Drosophila melanogaster: one gene and its partners. The protein of the gene in region 2 interacts with the protein of the main gene of each other region in a pairwise test. Each region holds a gene or a part of one and is shown on either strand. Other genes may lie near its edges. The genes, in order: CG5687, CG3740 and mRpL32.

Region 1 (3,755 bases), on a different chromosome or scaffold from region 2:
GGAGTGCGAGCGCGCCAATCGAGATTTAAGCGAATTCAACTGGTTTAGATCGGTGGCCATTGGACTGAGCCGGATTGCGCCGGTTTGGGCCAGAAATTCGCCATCGCTCGGCGAATCTTCGAAGAGCAGCTTCCAAGTCTCCGAAGGCAAGGCCGGAAACTAAGAGCAAAAGGCCCGACCACAAGAGAGATGTCCAGATGCACAGAGAGAAAATACCAGTAAGGAATGGTCTAGGCTCCTTCTAGTTTCTAGCTCATCGTAGAATATTTTATTCAAGTTTACAAACTTCTGATTTGAGTAATCTAAACTACGAAATCATATTTATTGCTCATTTGTTTGTTGGCTATTTGTGTTTGGGGTGAAACCCGTTTTCCTTGGTGGAGGAACACACGGGTCAAATGAATTGTGGGCTCTGGTTGAGGACAGGCGTCTGGCTTAATTGGTGGACTTTCGCCCAGCCCATTCCAAAGGCCCTTCGCTTCCATTAAATGGCATCATCATCGTCTTCGAGCCCAATTAATATGCGTGTTTTGTTTTGCTTTCCTCGGCTTTTTTTTTATCTCGTCTGGGCGAACTCGCTTCTATTCTATTATAATTAATTTAAACAAAATAGTCCGCTTGACAAGTTGGCAGAAGATACCAATCGCAAGCAAGGAGATTTTCCACGGCCACGACAGCTGCAAACATTACCTAGTTCAAAACTGGCGAGATTAGCCAGCTAAAAAACAGAGTGAAGTAACACAAGCGACAAAATATTAAAATGCCTTCGGAATGGGTATAAATACTTTCAGCTTTATTAGCTTGTTCGACAAATGCATTTTACAAATTGTTTTTGCCCTCGCAACTTTTTACTCTAGTTTTAGTTAGTCATGAGTAATTGGAATAAATTTCCTTTGGGCTAATGCTTTTTACTATTCTGATGTTCTGAGATATTTTGCAACTACCAATTATCAGTGACAATCGGTATGATAAATTTCGAAATAACTCACTGGCATGCATTGCCGCTTTCACTGAAAAACTGAACAACTTCTCACCTTGGTTAGTAATTTTTCAATTCGTCAAATTCGATATCCTTCGGTTGTCGTCTTCGTTTAGCTCTCAAATGGAATTAGGTTTGCTGCACTGTATCTTAGAAATGTTCTGAACTGGATTTGCAATATTGTGCCACGATTGTTTCTGTATTTCATTAACGTGTTTTCTTAGTTAGTCACAAAATGAAACTGATCACTGTTTGGATTTGGTTCCTCGAGCCGAGTCCTTGCCGTAGTTTTTTTTTCACTTCGAGCACTAGTTGTTTCCCTTTTTTCCCAGCTCGTCGTCGATCGCTGTTCGAACGTATTGACAATTTTTAAATGAATGAGTTTTGCAAGCGGCCGTTACGCTATTTTATACAACACCCAAGGCGGCGCAGGCAAATCACAGATCTCGGATCTCAGGCCTCGGATCTCAGATCTCGGGCTCCCAGCTTCAGCTTCGGGAACCCCACCACATCGAGATCTCTTTGGGGTCTGAAAAGCGAAGAAGAGAGAAAATCGATCTAAGAGCAGGCGAAGCGTCGCCGGATATGATATCGCCGATCTCCACGGAGAGGGAAACTCGATCGCCAGCCAATGGTCGTGTGGAGTGCTAAGATATAGGCAACTTATTTTCAACAGACTCTGGGCACTAAGCCTATTTTAAAAAATAAAACCAAAGACATTATGGTTCATACTATAAATGAAACAGATATTAAATATTAAATGTTTATTAATGTAATATTATATAACTTTAAATTAAAAGGTTAGTAGATTGAGAAAATGATAGGAAACTTATAATCAGGTAGGTATGTAGGTATTAAGTAAATGTATATAAAAATATGATGGGTATAAGTAAAATAAGCTTGAGGAAACGTTTAATTGAAAATCGTGTATAAATGTTTGCCAAACCGTTTCCTAAATTGCTATCAATTAATTTCAGGGAATTGAAACGCTCTGATTCATATGCGAAGATTCATTTTCAATTCTGCAGAAGACGCTCCACGAATGGCCGGAAAATATCCGGTATTTTCCAACTCCTTTGCATATCCCTCGATGGCGATTGTTAATTGTGGCAAGTTGAGCCAAGTGAAATGCGCTGTAAACAAACATAAAAGTTTAATTGCTGGTTCTTGGCCAGTTTGGGATTGCGTGATGTGTAAATATTTCCATTTGTCTCACCCTTTATTACTTTTTAAGTAACTCGAGTCACAAAGGCAAAAAGTGCGCCAATTAATAATGGAAACGATTATATCTTTCGTTTTTTGTACACTTGTCGCCTCGCCTCAATTGCTGGCTATGTGGTGTTTTACTTGGATAACGATAACGAGTTCGATCTGGTACGATTTTGATCAGGAATGACACTCTTTCTCCCGCTAATAGAAAATTATTTGTTTACAATTCCTGTGCGCCAGTGTGGGTGTTTAATTCTAATTGAAATGTATTCCCAGTTTGAATTTAAATTTGAACTGAAACGGCGCCGGTCAGTTCAAAAAGAGTTCAAATCGCAATAAATTGATAAATGTAAAATGTATGTACATATCTAGTATGTAGTGGCAAAAAGAAAGGGGGTCTCCAAATATTCAGCAGGTACTTCCCCCCAAGCGGAAAGTCACCAAATCGACGCCCATTTTTCTAAAGGTCAGTGAGTTAGCTAGGCAGATATGCACTTAAGCATGAAGCGTGTTGCATTAATTAAATATGCCCGCCATGTCGTTAACTAACAGTCTCATGTAAATCTTGGCCATTCAACTACCTCAGCCGACGAAAAGCAGTTAAAAGCAGTTCGGCAAATGCGTCTCGGTGTTTAGGCCCGAAACGATCCCATCCCATGCCATTCCAATTCCATTCCATTCCAAATCCCCATCCCCATCCATATCCAAAGCAAATCCAGCTAACTCTGTTCCTCGGATGCAAGTGGCCGAAGACGTCACAAAACTGGTCGAGCCCCTCGTCCGCCAAGTGGTTCTTTCGGACTTTGGTCCGGTTGGGTGGGTATCAAATCACATCACATCAGATCCGAACGGTTTTTCAAACATTACAAGACAATCTTCACACGTGCTGGCTGCGTGCTGTCGAAACTGAAAATACGCAATACCAATAAAAAGAATTTTGGATTCGATTCCGGCATTACACAAGATCAAGCACCCCTCCTCCGTCCTCCCTCTATCCATCGTATGGGAATTGGAGAAAGCGTAGTAGTCAATTAATTTACTAATGAGAGTGGGCGTTGACATTGCTAAAACACTTGTTTATAAAAACAGCACAGAAAAGAACATTTTCCTTTTCACCAAGGAACCCAATATATATGTTTAAATTTTTTGCAATCCAAAAAAGCTTAAATGAAAATGAATTTCTTACTTTCAATAGTTTTTTCCAATATATAGTTGTCTAACAATAAATTGCTCCATTTCTTTCTGTGTATTAATATTTTCAATTATCGAATGTCTCAATTAGTTGCTGGCCTTAATTCTGGCTTTGCGAAGTCATCGCACTTCCGTCATTGCAATTCAATATTCACCATATATATGTAGTAAAACTTTCTTAATATTTCAAATTGCGGGCCTTGTTCGATAGCGTTGCCACTCTGGTTTTGCTGAGCTGCATAGGCATCGATAATATTTGTAAGCAAAGTATCGATTATTTTCAGATACTTTTGTCCATCTCTAATTTACCATACTTTTATTTAGGAAATATTTACAAGGAATAAATACAAAGATTTGCTTATTACCCGTGGATTAT
Region 2 (3,547 bases):
CAGGAGCTGCAGCGTGAAATGGCCGAGACTACGGAGCAAACCGATCGCGTCACCGCCGAGTTGCAGCAATTGCGCCAGCACAGCCTCACCGTTGAGTCTCAGGATACTTGCGAAATTTGCGAGATGATGCTGCTGGTTAAGCCCTTTTTCATCTTCATCTGCGGCCACAAGTTCCACAGCGATTGCCTGGAGAAGCACGTTGTGCCCTTGCTCACCAAGGAGCAATGTCGGCGCCTCGGCACTCTAAAGCAGCAACTGGAGGCGGAGGTGCAAACGCAGGCGCAACCGCAGTCAGGTGCCCTGAGCAAACAGCAGGCGATGGAGCTGCAGCGGAAGAGGGCGGCACTGAAAACCGAGATCGAGGATATTCTTGCTGCGGATTGCCTATTCTGCGGGCTGCTAATCAGCACCATCGACCAGCCGTTCGTTGACGACTGGGAGCAGGTGAATGTCGAGTGGGAGTAGTTCGCTACCACCGTCGTTCAGACCCAAATATTTATGTACATATAAAGTATTTATTATTATAAATAAACCTACACTGATCACAAAGGTTTCGACTGAGATAGCCGTCCAAATTCTACAGTTACCTGGCCATCGCCCACTTGCCCGCAGAGCAGGTCAGTCCACAATCTGCATGCGCAACTCGTTGGTCACGAATGACATGACAGTGTTAAGCACAGCCTGCTGAATGGAGGCGTTCTGGACAATCAGCGGCAGCAGCATCACCACGTCGGTGGGATGTATGTCGGCCACGGCCATGGTTACGTGCTGCACCAGCTGCTCTCGCTGTGCGTCCGTCAGGTCGTTTAGGATGACTTCGCCCAGCGGACGGAATGTGCCTGTTCGGGAGGAGGGAAGTGGAAATGTAGTGAGACTGAGTACGGGAGTTCTCCTCCGCTTACCGCTTGTCATCTTGTAGGCGGCGATTCCGCCGGCGGCCCCGCCAACCGCCAGCCCAACGGGGCCCAGGAGCATGCCACCCGCAAAGGAGCAGGCGGCGCAGATTGCCGCTCCCTTGCCGGACTGCTTGACGGCGACGCGGACGTTGCGCTCGTCCGCTACGATGGCTATCGCCTCCATCAACTCGCGCGTATCTATGGGCATATTTAGGCTACGTGGAGTTGGCCCGAATTTCGCAACGCTATGCTAGTATTTCCTGTTTAGACTTTGTTCCGTGCGGCAGTATGACGTTTCCGATTACGCCACCCGTTCCGTTTGTATCCTGCCTTTTAGTGTTGGTCTTGAATTCTCCAACTTGCTACTCGACAACATAAACAATTTCACGGAATCCGCTTGAAGGGAACTATTAAAAAGCTTATATTTGACTTAAAAAACAGCAACTTGATTAAACTTGTGAGCGCCAGATTCAGAGATGCGCAAACGGCGGTCACAATCGACGTTTATATCGATATATGGCCTTAACCCTTATGTGTTAACCCATTCCTGTTATGGGTCATACATTAAATTTCTTATATTAATCCTATAGGTTATTACTGTCCTGTTGCTAAGTTAAAGATGAACAATAAATTAAATATATATGTGTTTATTATATAAATTGATTCAACGGATTACGTTTGCCAACTATCGAATCGCAGTGCAAACGATGTCACTGTATCGATAAGTCGATTGCCCGCGGCGAACAGAGCATTTAACATCAGACTTAACAGCGAGTGCTCTGCTGCGCTGCGCGCACTTAACATTTGCATTTTGTTTTGTTCGTAGTTTATCAATTCGAGTCGAGATACTTTTGTGTTTCACCTACGTATCACACCCGACCGATTCTTCCCATGCACGGATCTGTGGCAGATCACCTGGCGGACCGAACGAGCCTGCAGAACCGCCCAGAAAGTAGCTCCTCTCCGCTGGGACTGGGATGTGCGCAAAGCATTTAAATTGTGAACACTTCCGTATGATTGCGATTCCTCGGATGTGGATGACCGCTCCGTTCCCGCGCCACCTAGTCGAGGAGTAAACCTGCCAGGGAGCACCTAGTGGAATTCATTTCGGAGGCGACATGCTCGCGTACACCCACGTAAGTCCAATGCGCATGCAGCTCTGCTAGTGTATGGGTGTACCTGTAGCAGGAGGGGTAGGGGTATGGACATGGGCATGCCGATACTGATATTGTGTTTATAATCTCGAAAGCACTCTAAATTGCTCCGAGGGAGGGGTGCTGCTAGTGAGGTTATACTACCCATGGCTCTATATTTTATACCACACCCAGTTATTATACTCATACAGCATAGGTATTTCTCATATTGTAGTTGTGAAAAGAAGCGCATTTGCCTTGAAATCAGAGGCCATCTTTAGTTAATCCTCGTATCCTCACACGCTATGGAACATTTAAGCCAAAAAGGAAATGTTTTCCATACCAAACCTATTATTGGCCTATGGTAATACCAAACTGTTATGCTGTTTTGACCAGCCAAAGATCTGGAAATAGCCCCCTTCCACTTCCACTCCATGCCGAAGCCGACAATTTGCCACCAACCGACACCGACCCGCCCACAATTGCTGCCTAACACAATTAATCTTTTTATTGCCCTTTTATCACATACGATTCGTTAATTAATTGCCGAATTAGCATGGCAGTGTTGTTGGCAGTTGGCCCGCAAGACGCTAAATCGAGTGGGCAAACAATTAGAAACCAGTTGGATACCGAAGACCCTCCCGACTCCCAGAGCCGCAGGCCCAGCAACTTATGCGTACAGGGTGTGCCTCACTTACCCTAATTACGGCAATTGGAGGACGAGCCAGGCCAAGCCCTCGTCGGTCTAATTCGATTTGCAAACAAACGCGTCTGGTGTAGCAAATATTTGCATATGTATGTCCAACGTGCGACACGGCGTTTTTCCCATTTCCCCACTCGATTCGCTTTAACGCGCCCTTTGATTGTCGTTGTCGTTGCAGGGCACATGGCTCCTGCTCCTGCTGCTCCTTGTAGCAGGCGCATGCGCGCGGCCAGAAATAGCACACACACCGGATCCGGCTGCACTAGGCGAGGAGTCTACTCCACATGCACACGCACATCCACAGGCTCGCCATCATCACCATGCCCATCCCCATGCGCCGCTGAAGGAAGATGAGCAGGGAACAGCAATACCTGCTCCCATCCTAACAACTGATAACGTGGGCATTGGGGAAACCACGACGGCATCAAGTTTGGCCGAGACGCAAAGCATGTCCGATCCGGGATCTGTGACAGACACAACATCCACAAGCACATCGCACTCCACCTCGACCACGTCGACCACTTCGCCCGCACCCCTTCCGCCGGCTGCTCCCGAACAGCCCGAGTATCTGAAGCACTGCTTCTATGCAGAAGAGCAGCTGTGTGGCCACACCTTTGACGGACGAGCCGAAACCTCCGAGGGCCAGGGCTCGACAGTCGCGCAGTCGGAAGCCCAGAACCGAGGAGGACAGGGGAACAGCCAGTGCCAGTGCAGGGAGCACCCGACGCGGCCAAACTCCTGGTACTGCTGCAACATATCGCAGCTGACGATGATCTCAAGCTGCAGCAACATATCCAAGTGGACCAACCTGCACG
Region 3 (3,470 bases), on a different chromosome or scaffold from region 2:
GTTCGACACAATACAGAACAGAACACAATTGAGATATTACGTATACGCGCAGTTCCCAGTCAAGTGGAGCACAGTTTTGGGGGCACTGGCCCCCAATCAGCTGTTTATTGGCGCCACAAATAGCGCGAAAATCAACAACGCGGGCGATAAATATTGATAAATACGAGCAATAAACCAGAGCTCAAATGCAACCAGCGAAATTGCATAACTCAAAGAAAAAATGAAAAAGGAAGAAAAACACTGCAGGCTAGCGACTTGTCAACGATATAAAAATAATGACAAACTACAGACAGACCAGAAAGAGACATAATTATCGGGCCAGAAAGAGAGGCAGATGAAAAACTTCACCTTGCAAAAATGCGGGGAAAAACACATGGAAACGTTGCGGAGAAAAACAGAGGCGTTCGGCAAATGGTAAAAAAGCCAAGGCACAATAATAAATAAATGCGCCAGCTTCCGCCAACAACAACACTGCAACTGTGGGCGCAACAAGTTGTTTTTCACGCTACTTGCACAAAAGCAATGGCCAACAACCAACAACCAACAAGCAACGGACAACTGCCAGCAACCAATTTCACTTTCATTTTCTTTTTGGCTTTGCAGCGAAGAAAAGAAAAGCGGACAGCAAAAGCCAAAGTCACGCAGACGCATTAGCGGCCAAAAGAGTTGGCTTGCAGCCAATGCACTCTGCACGGCAAAAAAAAAAAACTAATACATTTTCAATCCAATTTTATAAGGATTTATTTCACATTTGCAAATTTTAAAAGGAATCACTTAAATTGTACTGCTTATAAAAAGTATCTTTTCCTTTTCAAGTTTACCAGAAATGAAATCCTCATATTTTCCATATTTTTCTAACTTCAACTATTTTTACCATTTAACACAACACTTTTCTCGCTGTGTAGGCTTCGCCCGACAGTGAACTTACCAGCAGATCGGGGTAATCCTTGCCCATGCTGAAGCTTAATCCGTGGTAGAGTCGCATGGCCTGCTGTTGAACTTTGGGCGGACTGAATAATCCGGTTGCGGCGGACGGGGCTGTATATCCTGGCCGGGATCCGAAGAGCTGATAGAGCAGCTTGTGCGCCTGCTGGCGACGCGAGCCGCACACGACGCGACCGGAAGTGCTCAAGCAGGCCATTTTGTGGGTTTTGTTTGTGAGGATTTGTAAGTAGCAGGGCTTATGCGATGGTTTTTTTTTTTGTGGGAAGGGTAGGATGCAGCTTCTTGATCGAGACACAGGCACAGAATTCAACAGGTGAACAGCATTATAGTGGGTTTTGTTTATGTTTTTTGCAGGCTCGCAGGATTTGAAAAACGCGCGATTGTGTGGCGAGTTCGGGGTATCGATGGACTAACGATTTCGAGGCGACGGCGAAGCGCGGTTTGCTTGCGTTTGGCTTCAGCAGCTCCAGCGAAGTGTTTTCGCTTTTTGTGGATTTTTGAATCGATGCGCGTGCGCGCGGTCAGGTGTGGTGGGAATCCCACTGGCCGACTGTGGTGGAAACGATCGCTCACGAAGGTAAGATCGGCTTGAACTTGAACGGGGATTTCGGTGGCTAAGGCAGCCACGCGGTTTTACAGTCACTGGGGGTCGAGGTCTGTTTGGATGACCCCAGGCTACCTATGGGTCACACTATTGGAGGGATATATCTGGACTCAAGCGTTGCTCACAGAGGTCCTATGGCCACTACCGCCACTACCAATTAGTCCCGCCAGTGTCCTCATGTTCCGCAACAACTGGGACGCTCAAAGATCCCGATGAAAACGCGTTTTTCCGCCTGGCAAATAGTTTTTATTTAACTCGCACGCAATTTGCACCTTTTCACTACTTTATTTTGACGTAACAGTGCAGAACAGCTGCTGCGAACAGCTGTTTAGGGTTGCAACGTGCGCGGTGACGCAAGGCAGCCGGCTAAAACGTAGCACTAGAAGTGTGCAACGTAAGGCGACAAAGTCTGCAACCTTAAAACGGTAGTTATTTACGGATGCTGACATTATTTTAAAAGTAGTTACACCATTTTTATTGCTCTTTTTTGAATTAACATTTTTACATCTATTTTGTGCCTTACTTACGTTTTTCTATAAACATATCGATAGCACAGCTGTTTCCTCTTGCGCATCTCTAATCACGTTTACGTAAATTTCAGAAGAGCAGCAACAAGATGTCTAGAAATTTGTTTTTATCAATTACAAACTTTATTAGGAACTTAGAGAGCTTGTTCCTGCCACATGGAGGACACCCTCCTGGTGAGAAGCACCAGCCCAAGATAAAGTTACCCTGACTTACCCACTTTTTACACAGCTTTAGCGTTGGCCGGTTTTCAGCATGATCACAGCCCTAAATCCTCCCAGGAATTCAGTTTGAAGCAGCTTATTGGCGACGGATTGCTGTGGGCTGTTCCGAAGCACAGAAGATCCGTGGAGAAACGCCTGAAGCGGAAGTTCGGATATCCGGAATACAACTGGAAGCCTTTGAGGGAGAAGAGAAACCTCCGCTCCTGTCTGCAATGTGGCCATGACCACGAGATGGGAGTTCTTTGTCGTAAGTAGCCTTAAAAGTATACAAAGAGGTAGCCACCTTTAATGTTGCTCTTCCAGCCTTCTGCTACCAAAAGGTCCTGAAGGAGACTGAGCTCATGCAGTCGAAAATCCAGGAGACACTCGGTCTAGATCCCGTGGACAAGGAAGTAATCGTTCTTTATGAAGGCGAGAAGGCCGAACAGTCCACAGATGATCTGAAAAACAAGCGCATCGTGGAGATGAAGAAGCCTCGTCCCATGTGGTTCACCAAGAATCTGCTCCAAAAATCCACGCAGCAGCTGTCCGAAACCAAGGAAGTCAAGCCCTCCGACTTGGCCTAGATACTAAGCATCCATTGTGCATTAAATCCACACGTTCGTTATCAAATCGATGCTATTTTATTCTCTGTGAAGGATAAGGACCTTGCTTGCTTCAGGAATCCGTTGTTAAAGTCCTGGGCACTCATAGGTTTTCTACCTTCCACGCGTAACTGAAGCACTTCCAACTGACTCTGCTGAGCACATCCGATTATGAGGGATCTCGACTTCCTTAGGTAGCTGATGGCACCAGGTTCTTGGACGGGAACTCTCTTCTCCGGTAATCGCAACTCCAGCAACTGCACTTGCTTGCCCAAAAAGTTGGTTGTAAGGTTTTTGTAGCCATACAAAGCTCGATGACGAGTGTATATTTCAATGGCACTCAGCTCGGACCAGATAATTTCTGTGATTTTACTGGTAATCTTGGGAGCTGAAGGCAAAAATATAGTTTATATAGGTTCTCGAAGTGCTTAGATATGCTTTACCATAGCTGACCCTTGAACTATCTTGGGGTTTGGCTTCCTTAAGTCTTACTGATAGGTTGTTAATAGTATCCACAAGTAACTCGGCTCCTAGCGACGCCAAAGATGCATGCAGATCCGGCATGAAGACATCGGGATTAATAGCCAC

Evidence for each region.
Region 1: the proteins of CG3740 (region 2) and CG5687 interact in a two-hybrid assay, tested with the Drosophila melanogaster proteins (one large-scale study listed by BioGRID).
Region 3: the proteins of CG3740 (region 2) and mRpL32 interact in a two-hybrid assay, tested with the Drosophila melanogaster proteins (one large-scale study listed by BioGRID).

The regions. Positions count from the first base shown.
Region 1 is NT_037436.4:1,937,407-1,941,161, forward strand, and holds the start of CG5687 (uncharacterized protein), read right to left. Parts: upstream 1,698-3,755; 5' UTR 1,188-1,697; coding exon of another isoform or gene 1,092-1,187; 5' UTR 1,035-1,091; intron 1-1,034. Other genes in the region: CG46523 (uncharacterized protein), read right to left, coding at 1,092-1,187.
Region 2 is NC_004354.4:1,667,906-1,671,452, forward strand, and holds CG3740 (uncharacterized protein), read right to left. Parts: upstream 1,393-3,547; 5' UTR 1,105-1,392; coding exon 903-1,104; intron 884-902; exon of another isoform or gene 840-883; coding exon 619-839; 3' UTR 501-618; downstream 1-500. Other genes in the region: dor (deep orange), read left to right, coding at 1-465; hfw (halfway), read left to right, coding at 2,015-2,032, 2,911-3,547.
Region 3 is NT_033777.3:31,250,754-31,254,223, forward strand, and holds mRpL32 (mitochondrial ribosomal protein L32), read left to right. Parts: upstream 1-2,118; 5' UTR 2,119-2,165; coding exon 2,166-2,250; intron 2,251-2,305; coding exon 2,306-2,545; intron 2,546-2,601; coding exon 2,602-2,864; 3' UTR 2,865-2,905; downstream 2,906-3,470. Other genes in the region: qless, read right to left, coding at 929-1,141; CG1750 (uncharacterized protein), read right to left, coding at 2,906-3,270, 3,326-3,470. UniProt on the Drosophila melanogaster protein: Component of the mitochondrial large ribosomal subunit (mt-LSU). The mitochondrial ribosome (mitoribosome) is a large ribonucleoprotein complex responsible for the synthesis of proteins inside mitochondria.